Xenopus tropicalis: one gene and its partners. The protein of the gene in region 1 purifies or fractionates together with the protein of each later gene. This does not show direct contact. Links are inferred from orthologs where the notes say so. Each region holds a gene or a part of one and is shown in the gene's direction. Other genes may lie near its edges. The genes, in order: stk25, fgfr1op2 and cttnbp2nl.

The links.
Region 2: the proteins of stk25 (region 1) and fgfr1op2 purify together in Homo sapiens (affinity purification with mass spectrometry; 5 studies listed by BioGRID and IntAct, with this or other methods). This does not show direct contact. The link is inferred for Xenopus tropicalis from reciprocal best matches to the Homo sapiens genes STK25 and FGFR1OP2.
Region 3: the proteins of stk25 (region 1) and cttnbp2nl purify together in Homo sapiens (affinity purification with mass spectrometry; 6 studies listed by BioGRID and IntAct, counting the BioPlex papers as one, with this or other methods). This does not show direct contact. The link is inferred for Xenopus tropicalis from reciprocal best matches to the Homo sapiens genes STK25 and CTTNBP2NL.

Annotation. Positions count from the first base shown.
Region 1 is NC_030681.2:125,794,844-125,802,652, forward strand, and holds the start of stk25 (serine/threonine-protein kinase 25), read left to right. Parts: upstream 1-3,599; 5' UTR 3,600-3,826; intron 3,827-6,519; 5' UTR 6,520-6,528; coding exon 6,529-6,750; intron 6,751-6,927; coding exon 6,928-6,984; intron 6,985-7,565; coding exon 7,566-7,674; intron 7,675-7,809. UniProt on the Homo sapiens protein: Oxidant stress-activated serine/threonine kinase that may play a role in the response to environmental stress.
Region 2 is NC_030679.2:2,582,724-2,590,513, forward strand, and holds the start of fgfr1op2 (FGFR1 oncogene partner 2 homolog), read left to right. Parts: upstream 1-1,460; 5' UTR 1,461-1,564; intron 1,565-4,914; 5' UTR 4,915-4,919; coding exon 4,920-5,054; intron 5,055-5,279; coding exon 5,280-5,397; intron 5,398-6,064; coding exon 6,065-6,207; intron 6,208-6,568; coding exon 6,569-6,682; intron 6,683-7,541; coding exon 7,542-7,682; 3' UTR 7,683-7,790. UniProt on the Homo sapiens protein: May be involved in wound healing pathway.
Region 3 is NC_030678.2:60,506,324-60,512,780, forward strand, and holds the end of cttnbp2nl (CTTNBP2 N-terminal-like protein), read left to right. Parts: intron 1-918; coding exon 919-2,385; 3' UTR 2,386-3,144; downstream 3,145-6,457. UniProt on the Homo sapiens protein: Regulates lamellipodial actin dynamics in a CTTN-dependent manner. Associates with core striatin-interacting phosphatase and kinase (STRIPAK) complex to form CTTNBP2NL-STRIPAK complexes.

The DNA of each region.
Region 1 (7,809 bases):
CCATGTAAGGCCTGTTAGGTCAGTTACACATTTTTGGATGGCAACTCCAATAAAACTAATGATATCATGTTATCCTGCTATTGGGCAGAACCATGGCACAGTAAGTTTGTATTGCTTCTTTACAATGGGCCCCCTCAACCCACACCAGCTCCTTGCCTGAAACCCAGGGTGAAATTCAAGAATGAGGTGGGCAGGGTTAGACTGGGGGGTGCAGGGCCCACTGGGACTACCGCCCCGTGGACCCCGCACCCCTGCCGGCCAAGTCACATGCACTCCCTCACAGGGGCCTCCACCGTCGTCCTCCCTAACCCCCTGCAGGGGCCCCCGCCACCTGTCTGTTGCCCCCGCCACCTTCCTGGCGGCCCATCCGACCCTGGAGGCAGAGGACCCATGGGGGTGCAGGGGCCCCTGAGGTGGCAGCCCTGGTGGCCAGGGACCTTCCAGTCCAATGCTGCCCTATGCTAAACTCTTTAGTTGACTAAACAGTACTGTTTGCAACTAATTCTGAAATGAATAGACACAGGCAAGTAGCCAGAACTTTTACCAACTAACTTAAAGGAACAGTAACACCAAAATATGAAAGTGTTTTAAAGTAATTGAACTATAATGTACTGTGGTCCTGCACTGGTAAAACTGGGGTGATTGCTTCAGGAACACTACTATAGTTTATATAAATAAGCTGCTGTGTAGCCATGGGGGCAGCCATTCAAGGAAAAAAGGAGAAAAGGCACAGGTTACATAGCAGATAACAGATAAGACACCATTGTATTCTATAGGGTTTATCTGTTAGCTGCTATATAACCTGTGCCTTTTCTTCTTTTTAATGGCTGCCCCCATGGTTACACAGCAGGGTTTATATAAACTTTACTAATGTTTATGAAGCAAACACAAAACAAAACTTTTACCAGTGCAGGGCAGCAGTACATTATAGTTTAATTTCTTTGAAATATATAAATTTTTTGGTGTTACTGTTCCTTTAGGGCTCTGGTACACGGGGAGATTAGACGCCCGCGGCAAAACTCCCTGCTCGCGGGCGACTAATCTCCCCGAGTTGCCTTCCCCCTGCCATCCCACCGGCGAACATGTAAGTCGCCGGCGGGATGGCAGACGCGGCGGCGCGATTCTGCGCAAATCGCCGAAAAAGACTCGTGAGGCTTTTTCTGCGATTTCCCGAAATCGCCCCGCCGCGTCTGCCATCCCGCCGGCGACTTACATGTTCGCCGGTGGGATGGCAGGGGGAAGGCAACTCGGGGAGATTAGTCGCCCGCGAGCAGGGAGTTTTGCCGCGGGCGACTAATCTCCCCGTGTACCAGAGCCCTTAAGCAAACTAATATCCTGTTTGAGAAACAGCCTCATTTAGGGTCAAGTTTAAGTACTTACATATTATTTTAGAGGCTTATATTATAGGGTATATCATGCTATTTGTGTTATTGCAGAAGCTGTCCATCCAGAGGATGATTTCTTAGGGCTCAAAGGATATTGATTTCTAAATTGATGTTTAGCTAATGCCACATAGGGGCTTATTCTCAGTGTGCGGATAAACACACCATTTCAGCCTGTGATAAACCAACTTAACCAATCACTGATGGCGTTGGTGGGAACTGTCTTTTGTATTATATATAATATATATTATTTGGTCAGTATGCACTAATGGCAAAAATTGGCATTTAAATTAGCATTAACTATTCTATCCTGAGTGTCATAAACAGAGTAAAGTTGTAAAACTCTTAAAGGGGACCTGTCAGCCACACATAAAAATAATAATTAAAAAACATGAAAACCAAAATTATTTTTTTAATTAAATCATCCATATCTGTTATAAATGAATTTAAAAATCTGAGCTGTCAATCCTATATTGCCTATGCCTAAGGCATAGCGGCCGGTCAGGCACTATAGGATTGACAGCTCAGATTTTTAATTACAGTTTCTTTCCATTTAGCACAGGCAGCATTGAAGCATTTGTAAGAAGGTGGAAAAATGATGCATTTGAGTGCATTTGAATGGAACATATGTTTGGTTAATAAGTGTGATAGTGTGTTAAATGGTAATACAAAAATGTTATGTGTTAAGTTGGCCACCAGGTGGCAGCAGAGTAATATAGGTTTAATAAAAAATAGGGTAAGTGTACTTCATACCACCAGCCACCAGGGGTCAGTCTAGGCAGAAAAGTATAAAGTATAAAAAAGGGGTTGTCACCTGGGTCCAGTTGTCTTGACTGGAGGGCGTGGCAGAGATAACATCATCTGTAGGAGGGTAAGTCAGACCTGGCACCAGTAGGGGAGGTTTAGCTTAAAGTAAGAGTGAGCACTAGGTGAACCAGACAGACAGGTAAGTGAGCATGGGCAGCCCAATGCCCCAACATCATGGGGTGGGGAAGAGGCAGGCCTTGGGGTCTGCGATTGGCCAGTTGCCTCGTCAATGTTACTGGGCCCTGCCTGGTTTTCCTAATTTGAGAAACCAAGCGGTAGGTTCAAACAGGTGGCAACCCTACTGGTGGGACAGTCGGACACTGTATGATTGTGTGCATGAATCCTCTGGTGTCCCGAATGAAAAATAAATGTGTCACTTTAGTTTAGACATAGTGATATTCAATCAAATAACTGCCTGTCTCTCCTACACATTGGTTTAATAGAATCATTAAATGTATAAAATGTAATTACAGTGCTACTGTGCTGTTCTCTATATACATGCATGCCTCTGATAAAGGCGCTGGCCCCACCAGTAGGAGAAGTCTGGGAAAGTAGGCGTGGCCAAAAAATTCACTCCCTCTCACTTAAATGTTGAACAGTAGGCAATGAAATGGAATGATAGTTATGGCCTCATTTTATTTTAGTGGCACATGAGGTGACATCCCCCCCACAGTGTTTTCCAGCCATGCAATGTCCAGCTCAATGTCCAGATGTGCACAATAATGTTCTCCATTGCCACTTCAGTGACTTGAATGGTTAAACACCTGGATCCAGCAGGTGCACTTGTGGCTCAGGAGAAACATTCACTGCCACAGTTAATAGAAATAATTGCATGGCCATTGAGCACATTTTAGGCTTTTTCAATTGCAGGGGTTCAGAATGAATTCAGGTGCTGGTTACAGGGGTTAGATGATTGGGCTGTTACTGACAGTGACTGACAGGGCTGCTCTTAGTGACAAGCTTGGCACAGGCGGCAGTGAGTGGCCAATTACCAGCGATGGCAAAAACAATCTCTGTTTTTAAATAGTGCAATAGCACAGTCTCTGTACTAGCACTTCTGCCCCATATTGACCGGCTCTAAAGTAAAAAAAAAACAAGCCCAGAGTGGGTAAGGGGGGGGGGGGGCAACAGCCCCCAAAAAGCACCTGGTGACTGGCCAGGGCAAAGGAGGGTGATGAAAAAATGACATGTTTGTGGATCTGTGTCACAGATATGCCTTTATATAATAGTGCCCAGTCAAAGAAGTCACCGCAACTGTATCACAATTCTCCTCAGAGATTGTTAATAAAGCTGTCTTGTAATAGGCAGAACGACCACTTGTGCAAAATATAGTGCTGTCCCTTTAAATCCGAGAGCGACAGCTGCTGGTCACATGTTCTGTACTTCCCGTTCCTATGCTGTGTATGTAGAGCAGCAGGGCTCCATCTTGCAGGCTGCTGTTTGAAGTTGCTGTATTAACACTTAGTCAATGCTTTTTCTTTACAGTATTGTTTGTGTGTGCGCCGGTGCCCTGCCTCCTCCTCACCCACATGCTCCAGGGAGTCTCCTGTGTCAGTAAGCAGTGCTAACGAGGGACAAGACATGGTGTCAGCAGCTGCAGTGCTAGCAGGGATCTACAAGCAAAGTACCACAGAACTGTAAGTAGTTCAGAAGGAACACACTCTGTGTGAGCAGTTTAACCCTTCCAATCCCTTACCATTCCCTGTCAGCCTTAGTGGAAACTGCTGCTATATCTGACTGGCACTTGGAAATATCCACAGGAAATAGCAAGTTTGTTGCATACTATGGGGGACTACACTAAGGGCTATATAATAGTAACAATATGGTAAATAAGCAGGGCTGTATCTGTAGTACAGGTTTTGGAAGTCTTCTCCCAGGGCTGGAAATAGGGGTAATGATACCCCTAGTGCAGGACCTTGTTACCCTACTGTTTACCTAGCCCCCCCACAGGCAATGCATACTCATACTCTTTGGCAATTGGTGCATGCTGATAACCCAGAAATGTGCCCCCCCCCCCCCCCCCCCACCAGCTGCTCCTCTAGATTTGACCACAATCTAGGTGACTGGCATGGGTTGCCTTCGAGGGCCTATATAAATATGGCCATCCAGAATTACCCACAATGTTTGAACTACTAGCACAAAATGTGGGCAGCATGGTGGTGCAGTGGACATAGAATTGCTGCCTGTTCTCCCTGTGTTTGCATGGGTTTCCTCCTGGTACCCCAGTTTCCCACAACTCAAAAACATACAGGTAGGTTAACTGTGTTCTGATAAAGCTGACTGTAGTGTGTGTGAATGGCATGTGTCTGTAGATTTGCAGCTCCATAAGAAGCGCCTAAAACATTTGTTGTTATCCTTTTAAAAAACACCTCAACCTACAGAGGTAACTCCAGTCATGTATAGAAATAATCTTATCCTGCATTAATCTGTCCCGTGTGGCAGGAGCCTATTACGCAAAGACCAAATAAAAGTGAAGAAAAGGTTTGAATGGTTACAAATAATAATAACCCCCTGCAGCAGTTTCCTTATATTCTACCTCTGTACTTCAAATTGTACATCTCTGTAATCCCATACCACATGTTACTTTTCTAACAACATTTTACACATCCTTCAAATCACTTCCCCCACAATTATTTTAATTATGAACCCCTGTTTATTTGGAGGTTCGTAATTAAAATATTTTGGGCATCATTTTCGATCAGATGCATTACTACTAGTTTCTTGGCATAGCACAAGACTGCTCTGATGAGAGAACGAGTTCTGTTCAGGGGCAATACATCTGCAACCAGCCCTAACAGGCAGATCTCAGGTGAGTGTAAACATGGGAATGCCATATTCTCAACTCAAGTACCAGATCACCTCCCCTCAAAAACTCTGTTTCGAGGGACAGTTTTACAACAAGTGTAGAAAGGATGCCTCTGGCTGCTGGCATCTCGGAAGCTTGGTCTCAGAGAAATTAATGAAAACATAACCAAAACTAGGGAAGGCTGTACCTATGAGTACTTGATAAAGCCTTGATGTCAGTTTCTTATTCTCCAGGTTGTGTAGGGGGTCAGTTTTACTGGGGGGAAGGTGGGGGTTAACATACTGTGCCCTGAATGCATGGTAAATTTGGAGATACCTACAGAAATGCAAATCTGGCTTCTTGCACTTTGTTTTGAGCTGCAGTAATGTGGGGTATGTGGGGAATTTTTAGAACATCCCTAAGAAACCTAAGGCCCAAGAGCAGCCAGTAGGAGCAGTCCTGAAGGGCTCTAGGGTGGGGTAGGTTACAGTTCATTCAAAGTGGTAGAAAGGGGGAGGGTACAAGAGGTGTGCGTCCAGTAAGTGTACATGCTAACCTCAAAGGGGCAGAGACTGTTGAGGGACAGTCATTGTAGTTGGCTATCCTTCTATATGGCAAACTTTTTACTGCCTCGGGAACCCAAATTTAATCCCAGGAGCAAGAGGCTGGGGTCCACCTCATCTATATGGAACCAACCATGTATATGATGAATTTGGCTGGCTAGGAAATAGTAGCCTAAATAAGGGAGAGCAAGGCCTCCTTTGTCAGTTGGAGACATAAGAGAGGTCCAGGCCATGTGTGGGAACTTATTAGCCCATAGAAATGGGAGCACAGTAGAATTGACATACCTGAATAGCTTCTCAGGGATCCATATGGGGGAATTTTGTCGTTTTTATAACAATATAGGTAAGTAAATCATCTTATATAAGTTGATTCTAAACTGCAAAGAAAAAGGCAGCTTAGACAAGGTAGTTGACAACCTGACCAATATCGTCTTCAGTAAATTAGAGTGTATTGGAGCATATGATGCCAAGGTATTTTTTATTACATTAAGTGGGGATCAAATAGGAAAAGTAGTAAATCATCAGCACAGAGGGCTGGGGGCACCCTTGGAAGTTACCCTTGCCCCCTTGGGATTGTCTATTAAGTTTTATTTCTTATAACCATAGTTAGGCCAATGTTTATCTATACACAGGGTCAGGGGGTCATCCTTTGAATTTACCCTTGCCCCCTTGGGATTGTCTATTAAGTTTTATTTCTTATAACCATAGTTAGGCCAGTGTTCATCTATCCACAGTCTCCATATTTTATCTAAGTTCTCAATAAAGCCTCTCTTTATAAAGGTCATAAAGGGATGGTATCCAATATGCACAATAGAAGGGGATGTGGTAGATTTCTGCTCTATATATCCCAAAGCTTTAGTGTGCTTGTGGTTCATCTAGTATAAATTGCTAATCAGGCTGTCCCATGGGTTGGCATCCTTAGGACCTTTCAGTAGATTATCCATTAGTTGTTATCCTTATTGTAAACTCTCTGCATTTCCAGAGCTCTAGGATGGATCCTGAGCGTCTTTTCACCAAGCTGGAGCGCATTGGGAAGGGCTCCTTTGGAGAGGTGTATAAGGGCATAGAGAATCGCAGTAAAGAAGTTGTAGCCATCAAAATTATTGACCTGGAAGAGGCAGAGGATGAAATTGAGGACATACAACAGGAAATTACAGTGCTGAGCCAGTGTGACAGTCCTTATATCACTCGCTATTATGGTTCCTACCTGAAGGTAACTGCATTTGCTTTTAAATAAAGGTTGTGATTTATAGATCTCTATATGGTGATAAACACTTTTAAACACAATACATGTGCATGTCTGCAGTTATTATCTTCTTAGCGTTACCTGTTTTGCAATATCAGCTCTAGAATGTCTGCCCGCATCTGACAGATTCTCCTCTATCCTCAGGGATCAAAGCTATGGATAATAATGGAGTATTTGGGAGGAGGCTCTGCTCTGGACCTGGTAAGGAAATATGTCTTAACTGTCTTTTGCATTATCCAGGTTCCATCCAGCAACTTGTCAGTTGGTCTTCATATTTTCTTTTTTATAGTTTTTTTTTTAATTATTTGCTGCCTTCTACTGCCTATTTTCAGCTTTCAAATGGGGGTCACTGACCCCAGCAGCAAAAAAACTATTGCTCTGTGAGGCTACAGTTGCATTGTTTTGATTTTTTTTTTTTTCACTAAAAAGCTAAATAATTAAATAACCACATATAATAAAAAAAGAATGGACAGTTGCAAATTGTATCAGAATAGGAGAAGGAAAGGTAAAAACTAAGTAAGCTTTATCAGAAAGGTCTATGTAAATACAACCATAAGCACTCACAGATATGTTATGATATATATCAAAAGAAACACAGGATTTCTTGTCTTCCTTTGTGTAACTAGGCCTGTTAAATACTAGACACTTGGCAACTCTAAATTCACATTCACACTTCTGCTGTGGGCTGATGTGTGCAGCATTTTTGATGTAGATACTCACTCTGCTAATTTGCACTGGTCCTAAATTCTTGCATCACCCATCAATATGTTCTGTTAACTTAGCTGAAACCAGGCCCTCTGGAAGAGGCGTACATTGCCACTATACTACGAGAAATCTTAAAAGGACTTGATTATTTGCATTCGGAGAGAAAGATCCATCGAGACATTAAAGGTAAGAGCCTTATTTGGCATTAGCCAAGAGCTGCTATTATAGCAACTGGAGAGGGTAGAATCTCTGCAACAGGGTATCTCTTTAGGCTGAAAATGAAAAAACCTTGGGGGAAGTACACAGAAACAGGAACAGACT
Region 2 (7,790 bases), on another chromosome or scaffold:
GAGCTTACAATCTAAGGGCCCTATCCCATTCCCATCAGCCCCTGCCCCAGTGAGCTTACAATCTAAGGTCCCTATCCCATTCCCATCAGCCCCTGCCCCAGTGAGCTTACAATCTAAGGTCCCTATCCCATTCCCATCAGTCCCTGCCCCAGTGAGCTTACAATCTAAGGTCCCTATCACATTCCCATCAGTCCCTGCCCCAGTGAGCTTACAATCTAAGGTCCCTATCCCATTCCCATCAGCCCCTTGCCCCAGTGAGCTTACAATCTAAGGTCCCTATCCCATTCCCATCAGCCCCTGCCCCAGTGAGCTTACAATCTAAGGCCCCTATACCATTCCCATCAGTCCCTGCCCCAGTGAGCTTACAATCTAAGGCCCCATACCATTCCCATCAGCCCCTGCCCCAGTGAGCTTACAATCTAAGGTCCCTATCCCATTCCCATCAGCCCCTGCCCCAGTGAGCTTACAATCTAAGGCCCCTATACCATTCCCATCAGCCCCTGCCCCAGTGAGCTTACAATCTAAGGTCCCTATCCCATTCCCATCAGTCCCTGCCCCAGTGAGCTTACAATCTAAGGTCCCTATCCCATTCCCATCAGTCCCTGCCCCAGTGAGCTTACAATCTAAGGTCCCTATCCCATTCCCATCAGTCCCTGCCCCAGTGAGCTTACAATCTAAGGTCCCCATCACATTCCCCTCAGTCCCAGTGAGCTTACAATTCAATGTAACCAGTTGTACCTATGGAGTGCAGTATATATTTCATATCCATGGTACTTACCCTTTGCCCCCTGGGCTGGGGTGATGCAGGGATGGGGGGAACACAATGGCCGTTACAGACGAGATGCAGGGAGTCTGGATGCACCTGGGGTGTCTCCTTTTCTCACCATTCTGACCTTACAGGGAGAGAGAAGACATGTTGGTGCCGGGGCTACACAAGCAGTAGGGCAGCTCCCACCTCTCATACTATTCAGACTCATGAACTGTAGAACCCCCCCCCCCCCCCACCTTCCATTTCCCTCAAATTCTCTTCCCAGTTCTACTCCCCAAATCCTGCCCCCCCTGCACTCCCGTCCCACAAGTCCTAGGGTGCCCCTGGGTACCCCTGTGTCCTTCCCTACTCACCTCCCGTCACAGGCCTGAGCAGCTCATCGCTACCCCATTAATCGTACGTTTTGCCCTTTCATGCTGTTTGGTCCCTGCCGCTTTCTGTTTTTAGTAGATCTTATCCAGGGGGGCGGGCACTAATCGCCTGGAGATACAGTGATTGGCTAATTTAATAGATGAGCAGGAAGATACTGTGAGCGAATATCCGCTACAAGAGGGCTTTGCGCTGTAGGGAGCCGGACCTCTAGCAGCGAAACGTCTGTGAAATACAGTTTTCCAGTCGGAATTATATTCAGGGCGGCCCTTTGCACCGGAAGTGACGTCCTTGACAGGTTCTCAGAAGGCATGCGCGTAGCGTCACCTGCGGTTTCAGCTGAGTTTGGCTTCACTGACGGGACCAGGGCGGAAACGGAAGGGCTGGGAGCTCTGGGACCGAATCTGCCGCTTGTGGGGTGACAGGGTAAGTACGGGCAATGGCTGGCACCCTCACTCACTGGCACCCTCACTCACTGGCACCCTCACTCACTCACTCACTCACCGGCACCCTCACTCCTACATACACTCACTGACTGACTGGCACCCTCACTCCTACATACACTCACTCACTGACTGGCACCCTCACTCTTACATACACTCACTCACTGACTGGCACCCTCCCTCTTACATACACTCACTGACTGACTGGCACCCTCACTCCTACACTCACTCACTGACTGACTGGCACCCTCCCTCTTACATACACTCACTCACTGACTGGCACCCTCACTCCTACATACACTCACTCACTGACTGGCACCCTCCCTCTTACATACACTCACTCACTGACTGGCACCCTCACTCCTACATACACTCACTCACTGACTGGCACCCTCCCTCTTACATACACTCACTCACTGACTGGCACCCTCACTCCTACATACACTCACTCACTGACTGGCACCCTCACTCCTACATACACTCACTGACTGACTGGCACCCTCACTCCTACATACACTCACTCACTGACTGGCACCCTCCCTCTTACATACACTCACTCACTGACTGGCACCCTCCCTCTTACATACACTCACTCACTGACTGGCACCCTCACTCCTACATACACTCACTCACTGACTGGCACCCTCCCTCTTACATACACTCACTGACTGACTGGCACCCTCACTCCTACATACACTCACTGACTGACTGGCACCCTCCCTCTTACATACACTCACTGACTGACTGGCACCCTCACTCCTACATACACTCACTGACTGACTGGCACCCTCACTCACTGACTGGCACCCTCCCTCTTACATACACTCACTCACTGACTGGCACCCTCCCTCTTACATACACTCACTGACTGACTGGCACCCTCACTCCTACATACACTCACTCACTGACTGGCACCCTCACTCCTACATACACTCACTGACTGACTGGCACCCTCACTCCTACATACACTCACTCACTGACTGGCACCCTCACTCCTACATACACTCACTGACTGACTGGCACCCTCACTCCTACATACACTCACTGACTGACTGGCACCCTCACTCCTACATACACTCACTGACTGACTGGCACCCTCACTCCTACATACACTCACTGACTGACTGGCACCCTCACTCCTACATACACTCACTCACTGACTGGCACCCTCACTCCTACATACACTCACTCACTGACTGGTACCCTCACTCCTACATACACTCACTCACTGACTGGCACCCTCACTCCTACATACACTCACTCACTGACTGGCACCCTCACTCCTACATACACTCACTCACTGACTGGCACCCTCACTCCTACATACACTCACTCACTGACTGGCACCCTCACTCCTACATACACTCACTGACTGACTGGCACCCTCACTCCTACATACACTCACTGACTGACTGGCACCCTCACTCCTACATACACTCACTCACTGACTGGCACCCTCACTCCTACATACACTCACTGACTGACTGGCACCCTCACTCCTACATACACTCACTGACTGACTGGCACCCTCACTCCTACATACACTCACTGACTGACTGGCACCCTCACTCACTCACTGGGCACCCTCACTCTTACATACACTCACTCACTGACTGGCACCCTCCCTCTTACATACACTCACTCACTGACTGGCACCCTCACTCTTACATACACTCACTCACTGACTGGCACCCTCACTCCTACATACACTCACTGACTGACTGGCACCCTCCCTCTTACATACACTCACTGACTGACTGGCACCCTCACTCCTACATACACTCACTCACTGACTGACTGGCACCCTCACTCCTACATACACTCACTGACTGACTGGCACCCTCACTCCTACATACACTCACTGACTGACTGGCACCCTCACTCCTACATACACTCACTGACTGACTGGCACCCTCACTCACTCACTGGCACCCTCACTCTTACATACACTCACTCACTGACTGGCACCCTCCCTCTTACATACACTCACTGACTGACTGGCACCCTCACTCTTACATACACTCACTCACTGACTGGCACCCTCACTCCTACATACACTCACTGACTGACTGGCACCCTCCCTCTTACATACACTCACTGACTGACTGGCACCCTCACTCCTACATACACTCACTGACTGACTGGCACCCTCCCTCTTACATACACTCACTCACTGACTGGCACCCTCACTCCTACATACACTCACTGACTGACTGGCACCCTCACTCACTCACTGGCACCCTCACTCTTACATACACTCACTCACTGACTGGCACCCTCCCTCTTACATACACTCACTCACTGACTGGCACCCTCACTCTTACATACACTCACTGACTGACTGGCACCCTCACTCCTACATACACTCACTGACTGACTGGCACCCTCACTCTTACATACACTCACTGACTGACTGGCACCCTCCCTCTTACATACACTCACTGACTGACTGGCACCCTCCCTCTTACATACACTCACTCACTGACTGGCACCCTCACTCCTACATACACTCACTCACTGACTGGCACCCTCCCTCTTACATACGCTCACTCACTGACTGGCACCCTCACTCCTACATACACTCACTGACTGACTGGCACCCTCACTCCTACATACACTCACTGACTGACTGGCACCCTCACTCTTACATACACTCACTCACTGACTGGCACCCTCACTCTTACATACACTCACTGACTGACTGGCACCCTCACTCTTACAAACACTCACTGACTGACTGGCACCCTCACTCCTACACTCACTGACTGACTGGCACCCTCACTCCTACATACACTCACTCACTGACTGGCACCCTCACTCCTACACTCACTCACTGACTGGCACCCTCACTCCTACACTCACTGACTGACTGGCACCCTCACTCCTACACTCACTGACTGACTGGCACCCTCACTCCTACACTCACTGACTGACTGGCACCCTCACTCCTACACTCACTGACTGACTGGCACCCTCACTCCTACACTCACTGACTGACCGGCACCCTCACTCCTACATACACTCACTGACTGGCACCCTCACTCCTACATACACTCACTCACTGACTGGCACCCTCACTCCTACATACACTCACTCACTGACTGGCACCCTCACTCCTACATACACTCACTGACTGACTGGCACCCTCACTCCTACACTCACTGACTGACTGGCACCCTCACTCCTACACTCACTGACTGACTGGTACCCTCACTCCTACACTCACTGACTGACTGGCACCCTCACTCCTACACTCACTGACTGACTGGCGCCCTCACTCCTACACTCACTGACTGACTGGCACCCTCACTCACACACTCCTGTTCTTCCCAGGAACCATGAGCTGTACCATAGAGAAGGTTCTGGCCGACGCTAAAGCCTTAGTGGAGCGACTGCGGGAACACGATGGGGCGGCAGAAGTGCTTATTGAGCAGACGACTACGCTGAATAAACGAGTGGAAGCCATGAAACAGGTAATGCCCAACCCACAGCCTTTATCTACTGGTGCCCAGCGGGCCCCTTGCTTTTAAATCTGCAGCCCTCCAGCTTGTGTAGACTACAACTCCCTGCATCCCCGTGGCTGTTGGGGAGTTGTCCCCGCTTAAAGCTGGAGGCTCAGGACAGAGGAAGGTGCTGAAATGTCAGCCTGCAATTGAGTATGAGTGTGAGTGTGACACGACCTGTTGCTGCATTTACAGTACCAAGAGGAGGTCCAGGAGCTGAATGAGATCGCGCGGCACCGCCCACGTTCTACTCTGGTCCTTGGCATCCAGCAAGAGAACCGGCAAATTCGCCAACTTCAGCAGGAAAACAAAGGTTGGATTCGCCAGCTTATCTGCCCATGTATGGGCTCCCCTGCCAGGCCTGCCTGGCCAATGTCTGGCCTAAAATTGGGCAGATCCTGATAGGGCAGGTTTGATTTTCCTGTCCAATGGCGCCTATGGGCTCGATGTATTTATATAGTGCATTATATATTGAATTAGCATGATATGTGGCATATAGGGAGAAGATTCACCTTTTAAGTTAACTTTTAGTATGATGTAGAGAGTTTGCAATTGGTCTTAATTTTTTATTATTTGTAGTTTTATAGTTATTTCCTTTTCAGTTTAGGAGCTCTGCAGTTTGGAATTTCAGCAGCTATTTGGTTGCTAGGGTCCGAGTTACCTTAGCAACCAGGGAGTAGTTTGGATGGGAGACAGGTATATGAATAGGGGAGGGGCTGAATAGAAAGATAAGGAATAAAAAGTAACAATAACAATAAATCTGGAGCCTCACAGAGCAATAGGGTTTGGCTCCCGGGGTCAGTGACCCCCTTTTGAAAGCTGCAAAGAGTCAGAAGAAGAAGGCAAATCATTCAAAAACTATAAGAAATAAATAATGAAGACCAATTGAAAAGTTGCTTAGAGTAGGTCATTCTATAACATACTTAAAGGTGAGGGGGCTAGTGCAGAGATGTAACAAAGCTGATCCCTGTGTCTCACAGAGTTACGCACCTCCCTAAAGGAGCACCAGTCGGCCCTGGAACTCATCATGAGTAAGTACCGGGAGCAGATGTTCCGCCTGCTGATGGCCAGCAAAAAGGACGACCCCGGCATTATTATGAAGCTGAAAGAGCAACATTCCAAGGTACATTCTCTCCCTGAGGTAGGTGGGAAAGGGTTAAACTTAGGGCAAACCCCACTGACCCCCAATAAACTGACTTATTAGCACATTAATCAGTGCAACTATGTATATGAACTATTTATATTGTGTGCACAAGGGGCGTGGCCAAAACAAGGGGCGTGGCTAAAATATTGGTACTACACGCTTGTGTTCATGGTGGGGGGCATTTAAATGAACTTGTGCGGGGCCCCAAGGTTTCTGATGCCGTAAGTGCAGGTAACTACCAAAGCTTTGTAATTCAGGGGGGGCCAACCCCCAATTTAAAGTGCAGAATTATCAAATGGGAAAATTAACGACCGTCCCCCTGATTGTCCCCCCCGTGTAGGAGCTTCAGGCCCACATAGAGAAAATCACCGAAATGACTGCGGTAATGAAACGGGCCATTGAAATCGACGAGCAGCAGGGTAACCAAGAGCACGACCGCATCGTTAAACTGGAGGTAGGTACCTGCCGGCTGTGAGACTGCTCAGTCAGTAGAAGGCTCGGCAAAGAGACAACGCCATTGGTTACAGAGCCAGGGGGTTGGGCTTAATGCACCACTAACACCGAATCCTTTGCAAAAGATTTGGCCGAATACTGCACTGAATCCTAATCCTAACTTGCATAAGCAAGGGTTAAAGGGGCGGTAGCTTTTAGTACGTTATAGAATGGCCAATTCCAAGCAACTTTTCAATTGGTCTTCATTATTTATTTCTTATAGTTTGTACATTATTTGCCTTCCTCTTCTCTTTGCAGCTTTCAAATGGGGGTCACTGACCCCGGCAGCCAAACCCTATTGCTCTGTGAGGCTCCAGTTTTATTGTTATTGTTACTTTTTATTCCTTATCTTTCTATTCAGCCCCTCCCCTATTCATATACCAGTTTCTCATCCCTGGTTGCCAAGGTAATTTGGACCCTAGCAACAGGATAACTGACCCCGGCAGCCAAAACCTATTGCTCTGTGAGGCTCCAGTTTTATTGTTATTGTTACTTTTTATTCCTTATCTTTCTATTCAGCCCCTCCCCTATTCATATATTATCCTCTCATTCTAACTGCTTCCTGGTCCCTAAGGTAATTAGGACCCTAGCAACCAGCTAGCTGCCAAAACTCCAAACTGCAGAGCTTCTAAACAAAAACTGAAATAATTAAAAAACTACATATAATAAAAAATGAAGACCAATTGCAAATGATCTCAGAATATCACTCTCTAGATCAGGCTAAACTCAAAGGGGAACATCCCCTTTAAGGAAGTAAAAGGTGAGGGATATGTAAGACGGTTGATGCTGATTGGCTGAAATGAGCTTTTCTTTACCCGCAGCAGGAAAACAAGTGGCTGAGGAAAACCCTACAGATCACCCGAGCATCTTTCCTTAATCTGCACAAAGAAGACGCGGCGGAAAGCTCCTCCCACTCTGCGTCGTCGGTCCCCAACACCGACCTGAGCTTAAGGAAAAGCTGAGCGCCCCCCCCCCCGGGCCCCCCAGTTTCTACCTGTTGTACGGGCGGAACCAGCCGGTGCCATTGGATCACTGGGTGTTTGAGCAGCAGCACCCGGAATGTAAATAGC
Region 3 (6,457 bases), on another chromosome or scaffold:
TTGCTCCAAAAAAAGGCTATATCCATTTTTGTGAATTCCCCCCGATTTATATTAAAAGTTTAGAAATGTTAAAGTACATATGTAACCTAAGCATCATAGGGGTTGGGATTCATATTGATTATCCATGTCAACTATACACACACATTGCTACAGGTTTTGTAAATTTGCATAGAGCTTTGTATAATCAATACAACAGCAAACAGCATCCCAGAGTATCAATTCCACTCCACCCTTCCCTTGTTTCAACTTAAAGTGATGGATTTTGGAACTTAAAAGTCCATGACCTCTGCTTTACATGGTGGCCAGTTCACATATTCTCTAGGAAGCAGAGAGACTTCAAGTCCCAGAATCTACTAAGGAGGTCCCTGCCCATGGATCTTACAAGTTCAACTATTATTATATAACATAATACTACTTTTGTTTAACCCACTTCAGCAGTAAAATAGCTTCCTTTTAAGCAAACATGGAAATGACAAAGGAGCAGTATAAATAATGACTAAAGTACGCATGAACAGCTTGAATAATAACCATTAATGACAGGTCTGCCGAAAGCATGTCAGTTACTTCAGCTGACTTCAGCTGTGTTTTATTGACTATTGTAAATTTAAATAGGTGAAATTAGAAATAGGCAACAACTTCAATGAGATTTAATCAGTTAGGCTTTTTTTGATTCCAACCCTAAAATTAATCATGGTAATTTTAGTAGGTAAATGTGGAAATCAGAATTATCCAACCTAGAGAAAGATTGGATGAATGCAGTGTTTGATGCTGTACGTATATATGCTAATACAATGAAAAAGTATAGTATTCCTAGCCTAATCATATGTAGCCTTAGTTGTTCTTTAGAAAACTGTTATATTCCCACATATATTATATTCATACATTTATACATGTATTTTTATGCCTCTATATTTTCAGCTGGAATTTGAGAAGTCCCAAGTTAAGAAATTAGAAAAAGAACAGAAACGACTTTCCAGTCAGCTGGAGGAAGAGAAAGCCCGCCACAAGCAGCTGTCATCTGTGCTGATGAAAGAGTGTACAAAAGCCAACAACAGGGCAGTGGAAGAAGGACAGAGAGTAGATGATGTTAACCTAAAGCTGGAAAAGGTTAGGAGCAGAGTAAGTCAGCTAGAAGAAGAGCTATCTCTTGAAAAGAAACGAGGCTTGCAGATAGAAGCACAGGTGGAAAAGCAACTTTCAGAGTTTGATATTGAGAGAGAGCAACTGAAAGCCAAGTTAAATAGGGAAGAAAATCGCACAAAAACTTTGAAAGAAGAATTGGAGTCCTTAAAAAAGACATTGAAAGAGCTAAACACCACCCACCAAGTTTCAGTGCCTTCATGCAAGGTAACAAGTGAGCTGGTGTCTATTTGTGTATCAACAGAGAATGCTGACGTAGTATCTGTGTCATGCCAAACCGATCCCTTCCAACATGAAAAAAGTTACACAGATAATTCTGCAAAATCCAATGTCTCATTTACTGCTCCATCTAAGATTCCTCAGCCATATTCCAAAATAAATGGACACTGTAATACATCAGCACACAGCAATGAGCACATTTTAAAATTAAATGTGGGAGACAACCAGAAAGAAAAGTGCAATGTATCAGATAGCCTTTCTGACAGTGGGAACTCTCCAGTCAGAGTAGAGTCTCCTCTGCATATGACAGGATATCTTCCCTCAAGTGGTGCTTCTTCCTCACCCATCAGTACAGCAGCTTCTTCCTTAACTTCTTCTCCATGTTCTTCTCCAGTGCTTTCACGTCGTCTGATTGGAGCAACAGCCAACAGTCCTGGTTATCAATCTTCCTACCAAGTTGGTATCAACCAGCGCTTCCATGCTGCCCGTCACAAGTTCCAGTCTCAGGCTGAGCACGATCAACATGTTACTGGTCTACAGAGCCCCCCTTCTAGGGACCTATCCCCAACCTTGGCAGATAATTCAGCAGCCAAGCAACTTGCACGAAATACTGTGACTCAGGTGTTATCCCGCTTCACTAGCCAACAGACCTCCAGCAAACCTGTACCTCCCAACAGCTCACCTTTTGGTACAGATTATAGAACTCTTGCAAATGCTGCCTCCAACCAAAAAAGTGATGGAAGCCATTCCCCAAACCCTCTAAAAGTTTCTAGCCCTCTCAGTCCTGTATCGCCTGGAATCAAATCACCCACCATATCTCGGGTTGAACGAGGAAACCCCCCACCAATTCCTCCAAAGAAACCAGGGTTAGCTCAGTCTCCAGCTTCTCCCATACCTTCATCCAAATCACCAAACCAAACATCTGCTCTGACATCCTCAGCAGATGGATCAAATACCCACTGCTCCAATAATGGCGTCATTACAAATGGAAATGAAATTGAAATAATGCTTCCATCTGGTAGCTAGTTTTACCCTGTTTGGGGGGTGAGGACATTGTTACATGACTTAATAACACTGTCAGACTAAACTATTCGAGTCTGAATGTGCTATACAATTAAGATGATCAAAAGTATGTTATTTATTTTAATAGTCAACAAACATTTTCTATAGCCCATATTTCCTATTTCCTTCTTTCCTTTGTGGAAGTATTATTCTTTTTAATTAGGAAACAAATTCCTGGGACTTTCTGATAGAATAGGGCATAAAATGCAGTCTTAAAAGTGGACAAGAGTGTCTGAAAAATGTGGTTGCTGATAATTAAGAAAACCAAGTAATGTCTGGCAATTATAAAGTTATCGATACCAGCAGCTTTTGATCATGATTTCCGGATATCTGTGATTAATTGCCTGCAGTAATGTCTGTTAGTTACAATTAAGGAGTAAGGAAACATTGGCTTGGGAATCCATACCAGCTTTGCCAGTAAATTAGTCTTTTATCCTGTTTTGCGATATATACTGAATTATATATATATATATATATATATATATATATGTAGAGAGAGAAAAAATATGTTGTATTAGATGTATTTTAACTTTTAATTAACATCCCTATTACTGAATCCTGCCAGCGTTTTAACACTGTATGTACAGAGACTATAGCAGCAGTGAAGACGTGTGAGACAACTATCCAGTGGTCATGTTGGCTTGGGGCAAACCAAATTTATGTAGTTGTCCGATAAAAAAAAAAACAGCTTGCCAAATGTCTCCTTATGTATATTTTAGCCTTTGACTATTTTTACCTACTATTTCCAGTTGGGCAAGCAGGTTTAAAAAGGGTTGATGTTTCTAACAATACATACTAGCTGTGAACAAAAATGGGCTGATCTTACTTAAAGTTGAGCAGCCTGCTTTAAAATTATTGCCATTTTCAGTCAAACATTTTTCATGCTTCTTTTACTGGTAAGTGAAAGAATATTAACAGTGGCCACTGGGTGCTGCTGTTTACCTACCATATATATATATATATATATATATATATATGTGTGTGTGTGTGTGTGTATACAGTATATATATATATATATATATATATATATTATATATATTTTATTTATATATATATATATATATATATATATATATATATATATATATATATATATATATATATATATATATATATATATATATATATATATAAAATTTCTGAACCACAAAGTGAAGGTTTAACTGCTGAGGGCACAAAGCACAGTAATATCTTCAGAAAGATATTTCAAGAAACCTTTATAATGAGCTAAAATATTATTGGTGGTGTCAGAAGAAGATGTATTAAAAAGACTTTGTAATATAAATAAGTAAAGAGTCAAAAAGCAAACATGGCATAATACAAACAAAATAATTTATTGTAAATGCCTGCAATCCTGGCATTTTGTTTCTTTAACGTACAGGTGATCACTGTATGTAGTAAAGCATATTAAATCTGCAGTAAAATAAGCACACTAATGCACTGAGTTAATAATTAAATATGAATGCTTAATTATTTTTTTAACAATTATATTTACTAAATTGTATGTATGTGCAGTTGCTGTACAATTGGTAGGTCAGCAATTCACTGATTTGTCCTCATAAATTATATACCTAAAGAGATGATTTGCAAAGTGTAAAAAGCAGTAAATCATAGCTACAAAAATATAGTCAGGAAGAATCAGAGAACCACGAGGCTGGACTGAGTAGTCTCTCTTTTGTTCTCTGGAGTACATTTTCCAGTTTTGCTCTACATGTCATACAGGGCAGAATTTTAATTACAACCTAAATTGCAACCTAAACATGCATTTCCTAAAAGTTCTCCAAAAACCATGAAAATGTTATTTGCCTCCAACTGCTGTGATTTCACTTGAATGGGTGTCACTCACCACCCTCAGTTAGTATTCAAAAGTACTCCATGTAAATGGGAAGCATATAGTACTAGTACCAGCATAACAATGCTGTGTGCCATAGCCCTGATACTGGGTCCATCGTAGGTCTTGTTCTTGGTGTGAAGTGAAAAGATGCACTGGAGCCCTGACAATTAGAAACTGCATATTTATTCACCATTTACACCTCTCCAATGAATGTCCTAGTTGGCATACACCCATATATTGGATATGTATAAGAGATGCCAGCATTTTTGCTATGTGTACATGTTCAGGCAGGGCTGACACATCCAAGATTCCTGATATATGCCATCATTATAAAATTTGTAACATATTGGCACTGCCATTCAGCTTGACCACTGTCGTAATCTCTCTAGTGTTATTCTTTCCCAAAAAGTGCCTTTAAATGTGTTAACAATCATGTAAGCAACTCTGAGCTGTGAAACCAGTTGGATATCTACAACCTGGAAGTGCAGATATGTATTAAAAAAAATACCATGGCTGTTTTCTGTTGTAAGCATTATTTTAAAGGCAAGGGGCTCAAGATTCAACATTTAAATTTTAGCAGTATTTATTAAAGCAAATGTGGCTTCTTTATAAAAAGGTGTGATGTGGAATTGTTTCATTGGTTTTTATCTTAAATTACTAAGGTGATTCTAAAGGCCTTATTCAGTGTATTTGGATGAAAGATTACGCCTTCAAATTATTTAAGAATCTAGCGGATCACATAATGGAGGTCTGTTGCAACATCAGTTGCATGTAGAAACAACAATCCCAGCCCATGTATATGACCATTACTTATGTAAAACATCTGACCAAATAATCATGTGACAGCTATCTGGATACAGTTTTCAGGCCAGCTTGTAACGGACAAATATGTTACTGATTCCTACTGGGACATTGAAAGAGAAAATAGAACTGTGCATTCCGTTTGATTAATACAGCCTGATGTCTATAGTTTAAACTCTTACGTTTTCTTTTATTTGCAATGGTAAAATGATTGCAGCTTTGTTTTTGTAGAGGATTGATGCATTCTGAAATTATGAATTATAAATTAAAAATAGAGCTGTACTGGTAAAACACCCTGTAAAGGTCTCTTGATAAATGTTTTTTTGTTCAGTGCTACAGGCCATTGATGAAATACGGTTAGTAATTTAAAGGGGCTGTTCAAGTTAGCATGAACTTTTTGTATGAATTATTATGTTTATCAGACTTTGCAGAATTTGCAACTGGCCTGTATTTTTTTGGTTTGTTTGTTTTGAAATGTTTAGCTTTCTGTTAAGACATCTGGTTACCATCCTAAGTATCATTGAAGTTTATAAAAGCAAACATTTAACCTCTCACACCTAGAATTTCTCTAGTAGCTGGTCTTAGAAGCAATTACCATTGGAATGGCTAAAATAACATATAGGCAGTGTTTGTACACATTTAAGTAGTTGGAATTTTATAATTTTTAAATTTCAGAGCTGCAAAACAAAAAAAGTTAATTTAGAAACCCCACTGATCAACTTAAACTGAAACTTGCATTAGTTTACCACTGTCTGCATCATTCTTCTTAGCAATTGTGAGGTGAAAGTGAAGCAAAAATTTATTTGGCTAACTTTTATGATGTTTAATTCATTTTGTATGCCATAAATCAATGTTCAGAGCCATCCTAGCTATACCATTTATAGCTAGGATATAGATTAAAAGTTTGCTGTAGTTTTCAATAGCGTCTTTATACCGTTTTTCTTTACAGTAGTAGCTGATGTTTCAGAACTCATGTTGCAAATGATAGTTTAAGGAATACTGTCATGGGAAAGCAAAATTTTTTTATAAAAATGCAAGTTAATAGAACTTATCCAGCAGAATCCTTCATTGAAATCTGTTTTTCAAAAACACAGATTTTTTTTATAATTAATTTTGAAATTTCACATAGGGCTAGCCATATTCTTCATTTCCCAGGGTGCCACAGCCATGGTGCTCTGATAAATTCAGTCACACTTTACTGCTGAGCTGCAGAACAATGGGAAGGTAGCAAGATAGCAGATCCCAGTAGATATCAGAATAGCACTTAATAGTAAGAAATCCAAGTCCAGCTTGCAACTTTTCCAGTTACATGGGAGTAGGAGAAACAATAGTTACCTGAAAGCAGTTCTAATGTGTAGCGCTGGCTCCTTCTAAAAGCTCAGACTCGGGCACAATGCACTG